2 linked regions of the Notamacropus eugenii genome follow. The protein of the gene in region 1 binds, or shares a complex with, the protein of each later gene. Links are inferred from orthologs where the notes say so. Each region holds a gene or a part of one and is shown in the gene's direction. Other genes may lie near its edges.

Region 1 (10,815 bases):
TAAGGGAGATCAGGAAATATAGGGAGATAGCAGTTTTTAACCAGAATTTCATATGCAACCATTGAATAACACAGTCCTAATTACATGATAACATGAGTTCTACTGAGTTCTTACAAAAATCTGTGTTTTAAATTTTATAGCTCCAGATATATGCATATATATATTGTAAATTAATTATTCAATTATAATTCATTCATGAATTATATCAAACTATAATTCATATATGAATTAAATTATAATTCATATATGAATTATAGATGAATGTTATATATGAAGGTAATATATATTACCTTCATCTGTCTGCCCTGAAATAATCCACAGAAATTAAAATTCATCTACTGAATCTCTTTTGCAAATTGGTTTCAGCTTTCCTGAATAACATGGATTTGTTTGATCATGCTTTCAGTGGTTCTGTCAAGTAAAGAATCATTAAAAGATGGTAAGGTGCTGAGGGGAAGCAGAGGGTAATACATCTTCTTTAGTGCTATTCTCACTGATGAAGCTGTGTGTTTCTGATGTTGAAGCACTTGTTAATGCCAAGATTTTTGGTGGTGAGAATTCTCCTCTCCAGGTCTTCAGCATCTGTGCAGGAGGGGGCCATATTACCAGTTAGTTTGGTCAGCATTTGGAGATAGTAGTCAAGATAGTAGTGGTGGTTTGATTCATTTGAAATAAGCTGCCTTCTCTCTCTGCCTCAGGGTACCTTGCTGCTTCAACTAGAATGACTTGTCTGTTCCATAGGGGCAGTTGATTAGCATTTGGTGAGGATGGCTCATCTTTTCTTGACAGAGGTTGCTTTCCTGCTTTAGGAAGAGCTTTGAGGCTGGGTTAGAAGTGCCAGTAGCCTGGAGGTGTCCCAGTTCCTAGGGTCCTTGGGCTTACCTGCATGTTTGTGGCAATTGGACTGCAGGAATAAGATTGCTAAACTGGTGCATGTCCAGAGAGCAACAAAAATGATGAGGGAGCCTACACATTATGGAATATTAGGATGGATTGAAGGAAGTTAGGAAGTTTAGTCTGAAGAGGTGAAAGGAGTTGAGGTGGGAATGATAGTTATTTCATCAGCATTTGATGGATATTCACATGGAAGGACTACATTTGTTTTACTTGGTGCTAGAGTGTAAAACCAGGAGCAATAAGTGGAAATCCCAGGGAGGACGTTGTAGAAAGATAAACTTCCTAATGATTAGTTACTCCAAAGTGCAATATGCTGTTTGGAAGGCAGTGGGCTCCCTTTTACTACGGTAGGAATTCTTAATCTTTTCTGCATTATGGACCTTTTTGGTGGCATGGGGAAGCTGACGGACCCCCTTTCTCAGAATGTTTTTAAGTGCATAACAATAAAATACATAGGATTAAAAGGAAACCAAATATGTGTGTGTGTGTGTGTGTGTGTGTGTGTGTGTGTGTTTAAAGCTCATGGACACTAGGTTAAGAATCTTATTACTGGAGGTCTTCAAGCAAAAGCTGCATGGCCATTTGTCAGGTCAATTGTAGAGAGAATTTTTTTCACAAGCATAATTTGGGCAAGATGGCTTTAAAAGTCTCTTCCAGTTCTGAAATTCTGGGTTCTGATTTCATAGCATTCAATAGATTTAGGTAATTATGATGATGTCTGGGCTGTTAAGAGTAGCCAGGAAAAATGCAATTCTGGTGCTTTATTTTTTAATGAAAATGAAGAAATGGAATTACCAATTTCTATTGAGTAAGAATCATCTTAATGTTACAATGGTAAGGAGCTAAGATCTTTTTGGCTATAATAAGAAGTCCTAAATTTTGATTCAGAATTGGTCTAAAATTATACAAGATTGGGGAAAGACTAAGAATTAGAGGTATCTTGCTGGATTAATTTCAGTTCACATGAATTCCTGATATATAACAAAGTGCTTCTTTTCTTCACGTAATTTTACAGAAGAAAAATTATATTGACTTAAAGGAGTTTTTTAACTAATTAAAGGAAATTTTTCTCTAACAAAGATAATGTGACAGGAAAATTCCCCTTTGAACACTTGTTTATTTATTTGTGACCAATGTTTTATATGCTACCATATAAAGGAGGACAAATCAGGTATTAATATACACAACACAGAAGTATTGTGGATGTAGTAACTAACTTCAACATATTCCATTATGACATCCTTAAGCATCTCCAAGTAGATTATCTGCTTTGTATAGTCTTTAACAATTTTTCATATTGACCTGCCATTCTTGGCTTCTTTTTTTTTTCTAATTGTGTATGGTCAAGGAACATAAATTCTGAGATTAGTCTATGAAGAAATATAAAAAAATAAAACTGAGGGAAACAAATAATGATCACGCTGAATACAAATATTTTGAGGCTTACCCCATGTTTGGACTATTTTCATTGTCTCTCCCTTTCTTTAGCATGGATTTTAAATAGTTAACTTTTTGCGTTTTTAGCAGCACTAGTAAAAAAAAACAAAAAACATCCTTCAGCAATATCCTATACTTCATTCGATCTGTGATGATGCTGATGTGGGTACTCCCTCTGTTGGTGTGGATCATAACTTATCCATGCCTTCTCATCCTATGCAATTCTAGTTCATATTCTCCCATAAGAACTCTGCAAGGGGTCCACCAAACATGATGGAGGTCTTTTGTTAGAACTTTTGACACTAGATAGATTCCAAAGTAATATTCATGGTTTATCTACCACATGGCTCTTAATGTGTGACTAGTACATCTTCTTTTTCCATCATACATCTGATTCCATCCTTTCCTATTGCTTTTGTCATTAGTGGCATATTCACACCCACTATACATCCCTCTCCATTGTTTTTGGGCTCTTTTCAACTTTAATTCCCAATTGACTCTGGTACTCCATGACTTCAGGCATATAACACCACCAGAAGAATACTTACATCAAGGAAATGGGCCCATGTTTCAAGGAGAAGCTTGGGATAATTAAGATCACTACACAATGTACTCAAAGTAATTCAACCTGTTCTATTCTTTCTCAGTACTGGTCCAAGATAATTGTCCCCTTACAGGACACGTCCAATATATATTTACTGATGAACCATGCCTCAAGATTGTTAATTCTCCTCCATAAATAGTTTGGACAATAGGCATTCTTCATTTGGTTGGTTTTTCCTGTGTATGGGTCTCATTTTTGAGGCTCTGTAATATTCTGGGGCTTGATGCAATTAGTATAATGTCATGAGGTGGGGAACTGGACCTCTAGCTCCTCAAGTATGGCCCTTTGACTGAATCCAAACTTCATAGAACAAATCCCCTTAATGAAAGGATTTATTCTGTAAAACTTGGACTCAGTCAAAAGGCCCAACCCAAGGAACTAGAAGGCCATATGTGTCCTTGAGGCCACAGGTTCCCCAACCCTGTAACAGGACTATCTAAAGACTTCACCCTCTATAGTTAATTTGTCTTTGATTTGGACAATGTTAGACATACTCCGTAACAGTAGAAAATTGTTACAATGAGCAGACCCTTCCCTGCTGATCTCAATAATCATAGGGTTGTGGAACAAAGTTATGTCTTTTGTCAGTGAAACAGGGGCAGTAGAAAGAATGCTGTTTTTGGAGTCAGGAAGGCCTGAGTTCAAATCTAGTCTTTGATACTTATTAGCTGTGTGACCCTAGGCAAATTATTTAAGTTCTATCCGCCTCTCTTTCTATATCAATAAAATGGGAAAAAATAACAGCATCCACATATCAGGATTGTTGGGAGGATAAAATGAGATCGTAGTAATTTGTAAAATGCCTTATAAAACTTAAAACATTATGTAAATGCTAGTTATTTTCTGGATGAGCTGGCTTATAGAATTCTTTGTTCTTATTTTTGTGATCAACTGATTCATATCAATTAAACTTAGGAAATAGTAATAGTTTGGGTAAATGTTCTTTTAGACATTTCCTTATTTTTGTTTTTCTAATTTTGTATTGATTTTTATTTTTGCTTGAACAAACAGGCAATCTAATTGTACATTGATTTGGAGATGATTCCAGAAGTGACCGGTCATTTCCTGCCTGTTAAAATACCATTTCATTTTTTTGCGAGTTGATTTGATACTTACTCTGTCTAGCATCTCCCAGTTCCCTTCTCTAAAATACACAGCATGAAAGTCCTGCATATTCTATGAATCTCAGGCCTCTTAGATGTCACCCTTGAAAGCATATTTGCCAATATTCTTCCCTATGCATAGTTTGCTTTAAAATCAAAGCATTAAAACACACGATCTAATTTGTAGGTGAGTACTTCATGAAATTTTTCTACTTTTTCATCTTCAAAAGATGTTGGCACATCAACTGTAATTATTTTCGTGGTTGTCTTTTTGGTAAATACTCATAAATGCAATATGAGTCCATGTAAAAGTCTAATGGAAGTATTCATTCTTCCTTAGAGATGCTTGTTTATTCTTCTTTTTAGATGTTGGATAAAACCAATTCCAGTCTTTGCTTCTGCAAGGATAAACCAGGAACCATCCTTCCATTTAGCTATAATTTTTTTCTCTCTTCTGCTTTCCTTGTAGGGCAAATGTCCAAACTGCTACCACTCAGCTCCTCCAGGAAAGTACAAAAGTGATAGCTAACAGCAAAACTTAGCTTATGATAAGAAAGATTAGGAAAGGCCACACTGTACAGTGGATAGCCACTTAGTTTTGAAGTGAGGAATACTTCGGGTCAAGTCCCAATACAATAAGCTTTATTTTTAATTTAAAAATTCAATAAAACATTAATTTTCTCCACCCACTGGAGGGAAAAAATAACGAAACCCCAAACTCTTGCAACAAAGACGCATGGCCGAGAAAAATACATTCCCATGGTGGCCAGATCCGAAACTGTGTGTTCCGTCTGCATATTTAGTCCATCAAGAGAGGGTAGCAATCTTCTTTAACCATCAGCAAGCAAACCACTGGAGGGGAGGGGGAAGGGAGGAGTGGGAATGGGGGGAGGGGGGAGGGGAGGAGGGGAGGTTTGGGAGGGGGTGTACCAGCCCCACTGCAGAGAGCTGGTCTACTTTACATTCTCATCCGTCTACGCCAAAAAGCTCACTTTTTTTCCAACTTCTGACTTATTCTACCATCTCCACATTTATCCCAAATATCTCAAAACAACTGATTAACTCTTACGACAACTCGGGCCAGTTTTGCTCTATTCCCGTCACCTCCCACTAAGTAGTTGGAACCAAATAAATCTCACGTGTGGAAGAATCCAGGCGGCACCACGTGACAAGGTCGGTGCTGGGGCAGCCCCGTCTCTTGCAGGCTCGAGGCGTGTGGGCGGAGCTCCAGTACGTAATCCCCCCCTTCTCGCTTGCTACCAATCATTGCCATGGCGTCGGGGGAGTAGGGAGTGGGTGGAGTGCATCGAGTCTCAGCGCGCATGCGTTTTGAGGAGACGTCGCCGTCCAATGCGTCATCGCGCGTGCGCAGAACCTTTGCGGAGAGCTTTGCCGGAAATCAACATGGCGTCCGAGCGCTCTTCGGGCCGCAGTGGCTGGCGCGACCGCATCTGAGAAAGGTAGTCTAAGGGAGCCAAGGCAGCGGGGCGCGGTGGTGGAGCGGACGCCGGAGTCGCCATGGCGCGGCACAGGAACGTTCGAGGCTACAACTACGATGAAGGTGGGTACAAAGCCCGGTCCCTCCCCCTGCCCCCCTGGGCCGCGGCCTCCGGCCCTGCGGGGTTGACCGTCTGCTTTGCTCCTGGCCTCTGTTTCGGCCGCTTCCCTCCGGATTCTCTGGGCACCTAGGGCCCCGGAGTGATGATTTCGGAGCGTGGAGGCCAGGACAAACTGGTGGGGTATGATTTGGCATAAACACATTGGATAAGGGAAAGATTTGTCAAAGCTAGGAAAGAGGGTGACCCAGCTGCTGGGGGGGTGCCACTCGTGGTCCTCCTTTTTCTTTTGTTACGTGGGGGGCGCGCGTAGACTGTCGGGTGGGACTTTGACCAAGGTAAGGGTTTGGTTGTGCTTAGCCCCTGCCACGTAGTAGGCGCTTAATAACGTTTATTAACTTAATGATGCTTTTCCAGGGTGACTTCTTTAAGGTGTGTGCATGCACCCATAGTGCCTGCCCCCTCCCCACCACGTTAGTTGTCTTTTTTGCACTCTCCATCTCCTTTAAAAAAAAAACGAGCTCCACCAATTAAAAAAAAAAACCAAACACAAACCACCACCTAGTTTGGGGATAGCTTTTTGTAATACTCTCCAAGTGAAGTTTTTGTTTTAGGGTTGTTGTGTTGGTATAAATATGCATAGTCAAAATGTTCAGTATCACACTTCGAAAGATACGTCTTCTCGTTTACTTGCGCACTGAAGAATTGTATGAACGAATTGATTATCTTCTGGCCTTGTTCCATTTGAATTTCTTGTTAAATTAGGAGTTCAGAATCAACAGGTGATGATAAAAGTCCAAAGAAAAGAAACTGAAATGATCAGTGACATTCATATGAGAATAGATGAGACCGAGAGGAGATCCTAAACAAAGACTGTACTACAAGTCATGGTCGTGGCTGTGGTGAATTTGGGCCTGTACACCAAATCCAAAATTGTTGTATAAAGGAGGAACTTGGAATGAATTTGTGTGATGACAGAAAGTACTTTCTTACACAGTGGATGTCAAATAAGTGGATCTAATTATTTAAAAATATGTAAACCAATTCAGGGAGCAATTTAGCAAATTTGGTAATTTATATAACTTTTTCCTCTATTAAATTTAAATGTCACAAGAGCAGATCCTTTCCTTTCACTTCTGTATTCTCTAGCTACAGTTCTCAGCATAGAGTAGGCACTCAATGTTTCTTTAATATAGTTACCCACAGTAGAATTTTAAAAGGGAAGGTAGAGATTCATTACATATCCTTAAATGTTGGTATCGTAGAGCAACTACAACATATACTTACACAGTTTTTGTTGTAAATCTGTTAGGTACCCATTATGATTTGTTGTGCTTCTGATATTGCTAAAGCTTGAATCTGAGTGCTGTAGATCACAGATGTTTGCGTAAACTGCATCACATTAAGTGGGAGGTCTGCTGAAAACACAACAACATAGGAATGGACTTAATTATTTCTATATTTATACATTTTGTTTTTGAACTTGACACCTAAATTTTTTCTCATTTTACTAACCCTCCTGAGTTCAGGTTGCCATGTTTTCTTTGGAACAGCTGTGACATAACCACTTTAATTGTGGCAGGAACAATTTTGATCATCTTGTTTTGTCTTAGGTGTTTGTGATGACATTTGTTTTCTACAATAACTAAAACCCCCTAAATCATGAGTCAGCATGGTGAATTTTTTTTTTAAGGAAAGTCATTTTATTTTGAAATGTTTTTTTGTTTACTTTTTTTCAAAAAAATTGCTAAAGAATGAATGAATTACTTGATATGTTTTAGCTGAGCTACTTGTTAAAATTAAACTTGCTGGTTTCATTTAAAATGGTAAATTTTAGTTTTCTGTTCTCTCTATGCCCAGAGGTGGTTTTCCCCCTGTTTTTCTTCTTCTTCTTCTGAGAATTTTTCAGTCTGAAAATCAGATTCCTTTCTGATTGATACTTAACTCATTTTTATGAGTTAGTGGTATTTACTTTTAAAGATAAAAATTTATGAAATATATACCAGTTACCCCCTTTTTATTCTTGGATCCCACTTTCTGAATTCTTGCTCATTTCATGGACCTTTTTGGGATTCGTGGATTATTAAGACCCTAAATTGTTCTAAGGTAGACATCCATACCTAGTCCTTAGTTTACTACTAAGCTCTACTTAGTACTTAAGTGCTGCTAAGTTAACTACTTTCATTGTTTCCATGACACTGTCTCGCCATCTCATCATCTGCTGTCCCCTTTTCCTTTTGCCTTCAGTCTTTCCAAACTTCAGGGTCTTTTCCAATGATTCCTATCTTCCCATTATGTGACCAAAGTATTTAAACTTCAGCTTTAGTATTTCACATTCCAGTGCATAGCCTGAATTAATTTCTTAAAGTACTGAATGATTTGATCTCTTTGCTGTCCAAGGGACTCTAAAAATCTTTTCTAGATCCACAGTTCAAAAGCTGTAGCTCTTACAGCCATGTTGCTACTGGAAGAACCATAGCTTTGACTATATGTACCATTGTTGGCAAGGTAATATCTCTGCTTTTTAGTATGCTGTTCAGATTTGCCATAGCTTTCCTTCCAAGAAGCAAGCATCTTTTAATTTCATGGCTGCTGCTGCTTTCTGCAGTGATCTTTGAACCCAAGAATATAAAATGAACCCAAGAATATAAAATGAACCCAAGAATATAAAATGTGCCACAGTTTTTCTCCGTCTTTGCCAGGAAGTGATGGGACCAGTTGTCAAGATCTTAGTTTTTTGTTGTTAAATTTAAAACCAACTTTTATGGTCTCTTCTTTCACCTTCCTCAGGAGGATTCTTAATTTCAGCTTCACTTTCTGCCATCGGAAGGGTATCGTCTGCATATCTGAGACTGTTGATATTTATATTTGGATCATATAAATAACATGGAGTCACTGGAGTTTATGAAATGGGGGGGAGGGTGACATAGGTATATGCTGACAGCTGAGTGAAATAAACTGGAACTGTTCAACCTTTTGATTCCATTACTGGATATGTATGGGTAGGAGGTCAAAGATAGAAAAGTCCTATATGTTTCCAAAATACTCATACTTTTTGTACCAAGAACTGTAGAAAGCAGATCCCATTGAAAAGGTACTCCAGTCTTTAAAGATAGTTTCAGTCTTTGAAATAGTTGTTAGAATAAAATATGCCAGGGTCCTTTTAACATAGACATGTGTTTATTTTAATGTTGAAAGCATCATTGATTAGAATAAGATCACTTGATATTTGTGTTAACTTGTTGTATATTTCATTTAGATTTTGAAGATGATGATCTCTATGGCCAGTCTGTAGAGGATGATTATTGTATTTCACCATCAACAGGTACGTATTCAGAGTCTTGATATGGGGTTTTGAAAAAACGGTAGATAAAAGTACTTTTTTTCTACCGTGAAGGTATCAAAAGAAAGCCGAATTGTATAAGCTCTTTGAAGTCGAGGACTGTTTTTCATTTTGTCTTTGTAGTCTTGGAATCTAGCAACAGTTCCCCATACGTAAGAGGTACTTAATACATACAGTTGGATTGAATTGGGAGAAAAATACTTAATTATGCATTTGAACACATGGGTTAAATAGTTTTACCTATAAATAAAACCATATGATTTTATTTCTGCCTTTTAAGATTTTAAACAACTTGTAGAAAAATGATGTGTATGGTTTTTCTTATATGTTTTGGAGATGAGAAATACTTTTCTTTGGTGGTGTGGAATGCTATGTTAGTGAAATGAATATTGGTTCTGTAGTCATGTTAACGGCGTGTGAGAATCCTGCCTCTGCCACTTCAGATTTGCAACATGATTTATCAGGTTTCTTCTAGTTTTAAGTCTTATGAGACTCATTCTAATTTGCTTCTGCTGGAATGGCAATATGTTGAGTAATATTACGGAACTTCACATGTGTTTTTGGCAAAGCTTTTTACTTTTCATTCTCTGTTAGTAGTTATTGGATAATTTATATATATATAATATGCGTATTATGTATATACTCCCAAATATTAGAGGACTGATTTTTCATTTCAGAGTTGTTTTGTGGGTGGTCTTATAAGTAAAGCTTGAGGCAATACTGTAATCCTTTTCTTTAGTTGTAGTTATCTTACATCAAAAGCAGTTCTTTGGTCTTAATTTTCTTCTTTAAGGGACAGGACAAAGGCTGGAGCAGAGTTCTACGTTAAATCTTTTGTATATTGCTAATATTGAGGCATTTTATAAACCTGTTAATGTAGCCTGCCAATTCCAAAAATTTGCATGTAGGTTGTACTTTAGAATGCATTTCTGCAGAGAAATGGTGTTATGAAAATGGTGATTAGATTCCAGAGCTGTCCCACAAACTTTATTTAGTCCGTAATGTACCTGAAGAGCGTAGTTTAGTGAATAGAGAGTCCTAGACTTGGAGTCAGGAAAGAAGAATTGAACTGAAATTCTGACATTGATAAGTCATTTCCCTAAGTCATATGCAAGTCATTTAAGACTGTATAAATTAGAGATGGGGGAGGGGAGACTGGTGTTTGTATATGGATCTCTGAAGTATAACATTTTACGAATAGTACTGCAACAGAGTGTAACTGACATTAATGTTTATTTTGGTAAATATATTTGGGATTCCACCTGAAGAAACCAGAGGCATAGCTCTCCATTTCCTTCTGGTAATCTAAATGCTGGTAGAGCCTTTGTGATTTGGGGGGTAGAACTACTGAGGATTTTGGAGGGATTTGTTGGGATAGGATGCTCCAGAATTTAAAGGTCAAGTTGCCAGTATTAATTCTTAGAGAAATTTATTCATGGCTAAAACCCTTTATTTTCACCCTTAAGCTACAGCCTACCTATTCTGGGCTTTTCGTTATAGGTATTAGGACAAGTTTAGGATTGTAGGGTGAAGAGCAGTGATCTGGGTTTGAGGGTGGAAGGCAGGCAGAACTGGAAATAACATTGATTAGGTGTTGAGGTTGCTCCCCGAGGAGACCGATCCTGGAGCTAATCTAGGTAGTAGTGGAGGCAGAGGATGGACAACTTTAGAGCAGGACTTCATAACCATTTTTTCTTAACTGTAGGTCTCTGGTGAAGCCTATGGACCCTTTTTCGGAATAATATTTTTTAATAAACTACATAGGATTACACAGCAATTCAGTTATATTGAATAATCATTAAAACATTTTTAGAAGTTCATATACCCCTGGTTAAAAGCACTATCTTAACCACTTAGTCTTTTGACTTAGATTCT
Region 2 (10,519 bases), on another chromosome or scaffold:
ACAATATTGAATAATATTGGTGACAGTGGGCATCTATTTTCATGCCTGATCTTGCTGGGAAGGCTTCTAGCTTAGCCCTATCACAAATAATGCTTGCTACTGGTTTTAGGTAAATGCTTCATATCAATTTAAGGAAAAGTTCATTTATGCCTATACTTTCAAGTATTTTTAATAGACATTAGTGTTGTATATTATCAAATGTTTTTTCTGCATCTATTGATATTATCATATGATTCTTGTTATTTTTATTAGTGATATAATCAATTATGCTAATAGTTTTCCTTATGTTAAACCATCCCTGCATTCCTGGGATGAATTCTGCATCATCATAATGTATAATCTTTGTAATATATTGTTGTAATCTTTTAGATGGTATTTTACTTATGATTACATATGATCCATATGCATTAATGAAACTGGTCTATAATTTTCTTTCTCTGTTTTTACTTTTCCTGGTTTAGGTATCAATAGCATATTTATTTCATAAATAGGGTTTGGTAGGATCCCTTCTTTGTCTATTATCAGAAGAGCTTTCAATGTCAACCAGGGCTTTTTATAGTTGATCTTAGAGGTAATAAGGAGACACAGGAGTTTACTGAGAAGGGGACTCGTGTTCAGATCTGTGCTTTAGAAAATCCCTTCAGCTACTATTCAAGGGTGGATTAGAATTTTAGAATCAGAAGATCAAATAGGAGGCTATTGCAACAGTGAAGGTAAGAGTGATGAGGACCTGAGGTCACTGAGTGAGTAAAAAGGAGTCTTACATGAGAAAGGTGGAGATTTAAAAAAGAAAAAATATTTAACAACAGATGGAATATATGGTTGTGAAAGAATGAGGAGTTACTGCTGAAACAGGTTGAGAACCTGACTAGAACAAGAGCAGTGGGTAGAAACAGTAAAACTGGGAGGACAATGAATTTGGATGTGTTGTGTATGGGTTGCCTATCAAGAATCAGCTTGATGTTTGTTGTGGCAATACAGCTATCTCCCTAACCATTAACTCACTGTAATACTGAGACCTGTGGGATGGGATGAGGGGACATGGAAGAACCATGTGACTGCATTTCGTGTTGTATTACCTTGGGATTGAGTCAGGGAAAAAGAGTTCTTTTAGGAAGGGGGTGGAGACGGAGTAGATATGGAACGCATAAAGACTCCCTTGTTCAAAAATGTGTCTATCCTTTTGTTATGGGGGACTGGCATGTGCAAAGTATTGGGGACTGTATCTCCTCAAATGGGAGGGCTAGGGAGGCTGACTGTGGGAAAGTCACAGTGACATGTAATAGAAATGCCTCAAAGAGATCTTGGCATTGATTTAGACATTCTATAACTGGTTCGGCTAAATTTCTCTATCAGTGAAAAGAATATTATACAAATGTTCCAGGCTTGAGACCTGGGTTACAGCTAGTTGGTTGTTGTTCAGTCATGTCTGACTCTCGTGACCCCATTTGGGGTTTTCTTGACAAGGCTACTGGAGTAATTTGCCATTTTCCTTCTTCAGCTCATTTTACAGATGAGGAATTGAGGTCAGCATTATTAAGTGACTTGCCCAGGGTCACACAGCTAGGAAGTGTCTGAGGCCAAATTTACACTCAGGAAGATGAGTCTTTTTGACTCCAGGCCCAGCACTCTATCCACTATGCCACCCCGCTGCTCTGGGTTACAACATATTTACCAATTAGAAACTTTTTGGGGGAGAGGGGCAGGGAGAGAAATCAAATCAAAGCTAGAAAATATTGTTTCACACCTTAGAAGGAATTACTTCAATCAGACATCAAGACTAACACCTGGACCAGATTTCTTAACCTTTTTTTTGAGTCATGAACCCTTCTGACAACCTGGTAAAACCTATGAACCTCTCCTCAGAATAATGTTTTTAAACTCATTAAATAAAACATATAGGATTAGAAAGGAAACCAATTATACATGTACCACAGGCAGCCCTGACCCCTACCACCTGAAGGCCAAGGGTGTTAGATTTTACCATTTCACCCCTTTCTTAGGGTTCTCTGGTATCCTTAAGAGGACTGAGGGGTGTGTGCCATTGGCTCCAGCTCCAACTAATGGTATTCCCCCATATATAGGGGGTGTGATTCCCTGCATCCTAGTTCCTATTAGCCAGTAACAGCCATAGTAGCTTTTACACAGAAATCTTTACTTCAAAAGGTAGAATCACAAACATACAAATTTACTCCCCCATCATGTGGGAGGCATAATCCTCATCCTCTTTGGACCACCCCAGTGCCTGGAGAGGGGAAAGGAATTAGATTCATAGTTTAGCTCAGTTCCAAGACCAAAATCCCTCTGGGGCTGGAGTCCCCATGTACCCTGGCTTCTCTGGCCTTCCAAGCCAGGCTGGCTGGATGCACCACCCTGTCTGCAATCCTGGCCTCAATTTTGCCAGGGTTCAAACTCCTGGGGGAGGGGGATCATTTATGCAGCTAAGAACAAACAACATAGAACAAAAACACGCGCTCCCAGGTCCATTTCTCAGGGCGGACAGTCCTTTCCCTCTCACCAGTTCAGTTACAGGCATCCCCACCATGGGTAAACTGGGTAGATGTATAGTAGCAGAAAGAGATCAACCTGCTCAGTCTCACCGATTTTAAAGATGCAGGTAGCCAGTCAAAGGATACTAAACCCACTCTTGTGGTAGGGGAACCACTGGGCTCCATAGGCAAACTGGGAATGCTCAAAAGGCCCCTCAAGTAGACCTCTATGTTAGACAAACTGGGCATGACCCAACACACTCAGGTTATAGACAAATATAATTATCAAAATGTTTTTGTAAAAACAAATTTATAGACTCGAGGTTAAGAACCTCTTAATTTAGATGAATGTTGCTGGGCATTTACAGCAAGACTTTTGAATGCGAAAAGGTACAGAACAAGAAGCATTCTTGGTGAGATAAGGGAATTTGGATGGCCAAAGTCACTGTTGCTAACCTTAACTCAGAGACTACTGTACAATAAGCAATCTTCTAATGAAACCAGGTAGTATGAGCAGTTGATCTGGATCTTGGTTGAAAACTTTTTGCCTGACTTATCCAATTGTTCCCCCATTTTTTTTTCTTGATTTTGGCCAGTAACGTTTGGCCCCACAGTACTGTGAAGAGAACTGTTTCCAAATCCAGCATTTTACACAGGCTACTGATCTGCAGAAAGTGCAGATTGGTAGTTTTGGATTCTGCAATTCCCAGGACACTGGGTCAAGTAACTCCAAGGCTTTCTAAATGGTAAATTCCACAAATGCTTTCTGCCTCTGGAATCAGTGCTTTTTAACTATTAGTTAAAACTAGGTCATGTGAGGACAGTTGGAAAGATCAGAAAGTCAATCTAGTTGGTTAGGCATGCAAAGCTGTAATGCCATTTATTTTGGAAACCTGACACACAAATCCCACATGTATACCCAGCTCAAAGTGGCAATCTGTTGAGTATGCACATGGGAGCTGAGGGAAATGGTGGGCTGCAGTGATCTGTCAGGATTAATGTCACCCACCCTCCTGAAAGCGATGACGTTTGTAGATGGTCCTTAAGAGCTCTGGATGTGGAGCCAAAGGGTCTCACTTTGAATCCTTCCATTTATTCCCTCTTAGACCTTGGGCAAGTCACTTAACCTCACTGGACCCAATTCCTCATTTCTAAAAAGAAGAAAGAAAGAGAGAAAGGATGAACTCTGTAGTTCAGTTACAGGCATCCCCACCATGGGTAAACTGGGTAAGATGTATAGTAAAAGAAAGAGATCAACCTGCTCAGTCTCACCAATTTTAAAGATGCAGGTAGACAATCAAAGGATACTAAACCTACCCTTGTGGTAAGGGAACCACTGGGCTCCATAGGCAAACCGGGCATGCTCAAAAGACCCCTCAAGTAGACCTCTATGTTAGACAAACTGGGCATGACCCAACACACTCAGGTTATAGACAAATATAATTATCAAAATATTTTTGTAAAAACAAATATATAGACTCCAGCTTAAGAACCCCTGAATTTAGATGAATGACTAAAATCATTGACCCTTTAAACCAGAGATTGCTTTTCTTTTTTGTGTATATCATGGATTATGCTGCTAAAAATTAGCACCCAGCTATCTGATACAATAATATCCACAATAAACTTTAAAGCTTAACCTGCATTATTAGCATTTTAACATCAGTTAATTTAACACTGACATTTTAATATTCCATCACTCTTCAGTCTAGGCAATCAACCAAACAATAAATCATGCCCTGAATTGTAGTTTGCCAATTTGAGGTGTAAATGCTCACTCTGAAAATTTAACAGTGTACTAACTGCTTCCAGCAAGCCCATGCATGCACCCCCTTTGCAGTCTGGTGGAGTCTGGGGACTCTTCTCAGAATGTTTTTAAATGCGTAAAAATAGAAGTCATAGGACTACAAAGGAAATCAATCATTAATCAGCAAACATTTATTGAGCACCTACTGTGTGCCAGGTGCTGTGCTAACTGCTGGGGATACACAATAGTAACTAACATTGAACGTAGCACATAGTAAGCACTAGGCATGACACTAAGAGATTTACAATTGTCATCTCCTTTGATCCGCACAACAGTCCTGGAGGTGTGGGGGGGTGTATGTATGCACATGCATACGTGCGTATGTATACATATGCGCACATGTTTTACATAAAATATTATATATTTTCCACTTACAGATGAGAAAACTGAAGGAGAGGTTGTTAGGTGACTGGGCTGGGCTGGCACAGCTAGTAGATGTCTCAGGCCACATTTGAACTCGGGGATCTTCCAGGTCCCAAGCTCTATCCACCTCCCCAACTGACTTAAAAAAAAATTACACTGAACTACAGGTATACAAAGATTTTCAGACATATTCACAGATCCCTTTCTGTCTTTGATCCAATAGACTATTAGCCCTCGGTGTTCAGGGCTTGTTTCAGTTTTATGTGTTCTCTTCGGGGCTGGGTACACAGAAGCGTTTAATAAATGCGTGCTGAATGTTGAATGAATGACGCCCTCCCAGTTCCAAGGCTTGGGGCTCCATGAGAGCCGTAGTAGCAGGGCTGCGCGCAGAGGCTTCCGAGACGTCCCGGTGCCCCTCCTGACCACGCCGGCCACGCCCCTCCAGGCCACGCCCTCTCGGCCACGCCCCCTCCCGGCCACGCCCCTCCCGAGGAGCCCAGGCAGCGGCGGCGCCGCGGGACCAGTGCTAGCGGACCCGTTCACTCTTCTCTCAGACACAGCCAGCTCCGGCGAGCGGAGGCTTAGTGCTCAGTGAGCCTGCGCACGCCGCATGCGCCGTCCACCGCTTCCGTAGCTTTACGTACGCCAGTAGAGACGTGGCTGGGGAGGCGGTCTCTTGCGCAGGCGCACTAAACAGCCCCCGTTGAGTCCGCGCTGCCGGCCGGTCTGAGAAGGGGGCGGCGGGGCTAAGAGGCTCCGGGTCTTGACCGCGGCGCCCTCCCACCTGGGCGGCGGGGTCCTGAGCGCCGCGTGCGGGAGAAGGAAGGTTCTCTGGGGCGCTCTTCTCCTCCTTCCGCGAGGCGAATACCCGCCCGGCGGGGCGGCGGCCGCCAGAGCCAGGCCGGAGGCGGCAGGGCCCGGCCCCTTCCCCCCTCCCTCCGGCCGCCCCCCGCCGCCAGCATGAAGCTGGTGAGGAAGGATATCGAGAAGGACAACGCGGGCCAGGTGACCCTGGTGCCCGAGGAGCCCGAGGACATGTGGCACACGTACAACCTGTTGCAGGTGGGCGACAGCCTGCGCGCCTCCACCATCCGCAAGGTGCAGACCGAGTCCTCCACGGGCAGCGTGGGCAGCAACCGCGTGCGCACCACGCTCACCCTGTGCGTGGAGACCATCGACTTCGACTCGCAGGCGTGCCAGCTGCGGGTCAAGGGCACCAACATCCAGGAGAACGAGTACGTCAAGATGGGCGCCTACCACACCATCGAGCTGGAGCCCAACCGCCAGTTCACGCTGGCCAAGAAGCAGTGGGACAGCGTGGTGCTGGAGCGCATCGAGCAGGCCTGCGACCCGGCGTGGAGCGCCGACGTGGCCGCCGTGGTCATGCAGGAGGGCCTGGCCCACGTCTGCCTCGTCACGCCCAGCATGACCCTCACCCGCGCCAAGGTGGAGGTGAACATCCCCCGCAAGCGCCGGGGCAACTGCTCGCAGCACGACCGCGCCCTGGAGCGCTTCTACGAGCAGGTGGTGCAGGCCATCCAGCGCCACGTCCACTTCGACGTGGTCAAGTGCGTCCTGGTGGCCAGCCCCGGCTTCGTGCGGGAGCAGTTCTGCGACTACATGTTCCAGCAGGCCGTGAAGACGGACAACAAGCTGCTGCTGGAAAACCGCTCCAAATTCCTTCAGGTACAGTAACCCGCCTAGCTGAAGGGCTGACCCAGATTAGAGCTTAGGGGTTGGCATCAATGTTAATACGTTGTGTAGGAGGGAGGACGTTTAGAGGGATAGGGAAATGACCTTTTTCTTAATCATGTCCAGTCATCCTAAAATGTAAGCCTGGCACTAAGAGAAAATGAATGTCCCATTTTTTCCACATTCATGTTTTCTTACCCTTTTAGGGGAAAAATGATTTAGGTATGCTTAACAATAGGCAGTTTGATGCTAAGAGACTTAAATGATCAACCTGTGTTATGAAGTCCTTATGAAGCATCTCTACATAAGTAAATATACATAACTTTAATGTGTAAAATACATAAGTTTAATGCCTTGCATGTTTTGACATTTTGGTTAGGGTTGATGTGTTTAACGTTAATTGAACAAGTATGAGTTAACTTTTAAAAGGAAGAATATGTGCTCTAAAATATTTCATCCAACCTCTGTAATTGTGATTCCAGGTACATGCCTCTTCTGGGCACAAATACTCGTTGAAAGAGGCCCTTTGTGATCCTACTGTGGCCAGCCGCCTCTCAGACACCAAGGCTGCTGGTGAAGTCAAAGCCTTAGATGACTTCTACAAGATGTTGCAACATGAACCTGACCGAGCTTTCTACGGACTTAAGCAGGTGGAGAAGGCCAATGAGGCCTTGGCAATTGACACACTGCTCATCAGTGACGAGCTCTTCAGACACCAGGATGTAGCCACCCGAAGCAGATATGTGAAATTGGTGGACAGCGTCAGAGAGAATGCAGGCACAGTTCGGATATTTTCTAGTCTTCATGTATCTGGGGAGCAGCTCAGCCAGTTGACTGGAGTTGCTGCCATTCTACGCTTCCCTGTCCCTGATCTCTCTGACCAGGAGTCTGGTTCAAGTTCTGAAGAGGATTGATGATGGGCACCTCTAAAAAGACACTATGTACCACCCAACTCCTTCACCTACATAAACTAATATGTAAAACAAATATTCTCAAATCTAGTACGAAAGCTGCTAGGGAGGTTCAGTTTCATTTACGTGAGTGGGTTTTTCTTGTCAGGCTAGTCTCTTTGTATTGGAAGACCAATACAACTAGAAAATAAATTAAGATAAAAGTAATGTCTAATTTTATCCTTATTCACATTGACAATTACTTTTAGGAAAAAAATGGTTTAGAAATACTAATAATATGCAATTGATACTTAGGATAAAAGTTTTTACATCAGCTGCATTCACTGTGTACTGTACTGGGGTTAAGCTACTGTTTCTATCTCTTCTTCATATTTTCAGAGTGCATTGCAGGAATTTTACTTAGTCCTCACAAATAACTAAACTGACAGTGTTTTTTGGAAGATGGATAGAAAATTCACCAAAGAAAACCTAAAAACTGACACTATTGTTTAAGGAAATTACAGGAATTGAATGAAATCATTTCTAACATGCCAAGAAGCCATTGTGCTTTATCCTTAAAAGTTAACTTTATGCTATTTGGTGCACTACTTAACCTACTATTCATAGAGTTTTAGAGCAGGAAGGAACCTTTGTAAATGTAACACTTTTATTTTAGAAATGATAAACTCAGGTCCAGAGAAGTTAAAGTGACTTTCTTGAGGCCAAGCAGGTAATTATTAGCAAAGATCATAGTGGAATCCAATTTTGACTTCATGTGCAGTGGTCTTTCTTTTTACTTATTTTGATTTGTCAAATTTATTAATAGTTGTAGTATTAGAATTTCAAGTTGACTAACTGGAAGCTTTAAAGCAGTATTTTCTAGATTCTAAACAGTTTTCATTTAGTCATGCAATTGCATCATGATTGAATAGAGCCTGTATGTGGAAAAATAATAAGATATGTTTGACTTTTTTATAATTGAAAAGGGTTGCTAGGTAATTCTCTAGTTCACTAAAATGTCAGTGAATGATCTATCCCTGTTTGAAGTGGTAGATTATATTTTGTTTATGGTCTGTGGGTATCAAGTGGAAAGTTTTAGACATTCATTAACTCCTGATCAGTCCAAAATGATATGATTTATTTCTTGTTCTGACAGTTGACATATGTAAATGAAATCTACTGATAACACGATCAATTTTAGTATTTTTCAGGGGCCTTCTGAAAACTATCTTCACAAAGTTGCTAACCCTGAGTAAAAATAGATCTTCTAAATCACACACACACACGCTTTAAATAAGCTTATATTGTCCTTGACAAAATGAATGGCATTAAGCTACTATAACAGATATGATGGTACTTTAACTTAACCTCTAGAACACTTCATTTTCAAATGCAGCAAAGCAATAGGATGATACCTCTATCGTTAGCTTATGCTAACCGAATATGGCAGATCATTAATATGTAGAGATTTTGATAGTTTGACATTGTGCATATATTAATTACTGTTTCAGTTTTGTTGATCTTAATTTGAACTTTGTTTGCAGTGAAAATAACTGGATTATTCATGTGAAAGTTGTACTAAAAAATATCCAATAATTTTGACCATTGCATCACACTTCCCAGGAAGGCATGTCCTATAGTCCAGAAAATTCTGCCTTAAGCAGATTTTTTTCTGTTGTCAAATGACCAATAATGTGCTCACATGTAGGCCATGCTTTAAACAAAATTAAGTCTTTTAAAGATACCCATAACAGTATTAAGATAATTTGCATCATTGTAATTTTGAGGGGCCATCTGGAAGTCAGGAAGGCTTGGATTTAAGTACAGTTTCTGACATGGTGTTCTCTTGGGCCTGTCATTTAATTTCAGGCAACTCTTTCAGACTAAATTGCTAAGTAGTTTCTGGTCTACTTTGATTTTGTCCAGGGAATTTACTCATTAAGAATTCTCTGTATCAGTGAAATCACAGGCAGTACTACCCCACCCCCATCAAAAAAGCATTTAAATCAGTAAGGTCTGCTTGTGTTCAGATTTTAATTCTTTTCTCTCTATAGTAATCAAATACATACCTGAAAAAGTTCTCTAATATTTAATAACTTGTATGCCAGATAATGAAATTAGCGTAAAGATTTTTATTTCCAAATCTGTTTAAAAATAGGAGTGTTTTGGGAGTTAGTTTTCTTTTAAATCTGAGCAAAGCAGACCATTGAATGTTTTATGTGAAGAGCATCTGGAATTTGCAGGATTCAGAAAAGGAGAGGATTCCTAAGAGAGATTCTGAGAGTAGGTTAGTGGAAGATCTCTTTAGGGTCCTCAGATTTAAATATGCCATTGATTAAGAATAAAACTTTTCAAGTAATGTAATGGTTCCTTTTATGCTCTTAAAATTCTTGCTGCCTTTAATAACTTAAAAACGTGCCATAGCTTATACCTTTCAGAAATATATTGGTGTACAAATATTTATCATTTTTCAGTTGGAACAGTTTGAAACTTGTTTTGGTTTGCCTTATCTTGAATATCTGAAATGCAATGGTGCTTTACTTCAGTATGCTCAACTTGAAAAAAAAGAAAAAGACAAGTTTAGGAAAGTTCTTGAAATAAAAATATTGTAAGCTCTGAAAATGGAGTAGTTTCTCCTCCTTTGTTCAGTCATTTCTGACTTTTTTGTAACCTTGTGGGCCATGCTGTCCGTGGAGTTTTCTTGGCAAAGTTTGAAATGGTCTACCATTTCCTTCTCCAGTGGATTATGGTAAACAGTAGTTAAATGACTTGTCCAGGGTCGCACAGCTCATATGTATCTGAGGTTATATTTGAACTCAGGCCTTCCTAACTCCAGTCCCAGCACTTATCCACTGAGCCAACTAGCTGCCTTCTTCCATGCTAAGTAGTCTTTAAGGATCTTTTTCTGTAAAATTATCCTTCATCTGTACCCTTTGATATCATTAGCTACAATTGACTCCCCTCTCGAGACAGCTTACTGTTTATTTTTTAATCATTCAGAAATCTTGTTGGGAGAATTTTTTTTTTCTGGACAATGAAAAAAGTTCTAATTACATCTAAATGAAAAATGTCAGTGTGGATGTAGTTGACTTCCTCCGGTAGTGTATCAGTTTGTTGGTATAGTAACTGGACAAAAATAACTCATTTAGATAGTTTCGTTATCATCTGAAAGCCATGATTATTAGTCCTTTTGATTCTGTTTCTCCCTCTCCACCCCGTTGCTACAGAAAGGGGCTTCATGGTACTAAAAACCATATTCTATTTTCCCCAAATAGGTA

What was found. The genes of interacting proteins can lie anywhere in the genome.
Region 2: HBS1L (region 1) and PELO share a complex: the UniProt entries of both Homo sapiens proteins name them as parts of the pelota-HBS1L complex. The link is inferred for Notamacropus eugenii from reciprocal best matches to the Homo sapiens genes HBS1L and PELO.

What each region holds. Positions count from the first base shown.
Region 1 is NC_092873.1:221,008,306-221,019,120, reverse strand, and holds the start of HBS1L (HBS1-like protein), read left to right. Parts: upstream 1-5,463; 5' UTR 5,464-5,559; coding exon 5,560-5,602; intron 5,603-8,856; coding exon 8,857-8,922; intron 8,923-10,815. UniProt on the Homo sapiens protein: GTPase component of the Pelota-HBS1L complex, a complex that recognizes stalled ribosomes and triggers the No-Go Decay (NGD) pathway.
Region 2 is NC_092875.1:410,126,613-410,137,131, reverse strand, and holds PELO (protein pelota homolog), read left to right. Parts: upstream 1-5,289; 5' UTR 5,290-5,619; coding exon 5,620-6,345; intron 6,346-6,833; coding exon 6,834-7,265; 3' UTR 7,266-9,863; downstream 9,864-10,519. UniProt on the Homo sapiens protein: Component of the Pelota-HBS1L complex, a complex that recognizes stalled ribosomes and triggers the No-Go Decay (NGD) pathway.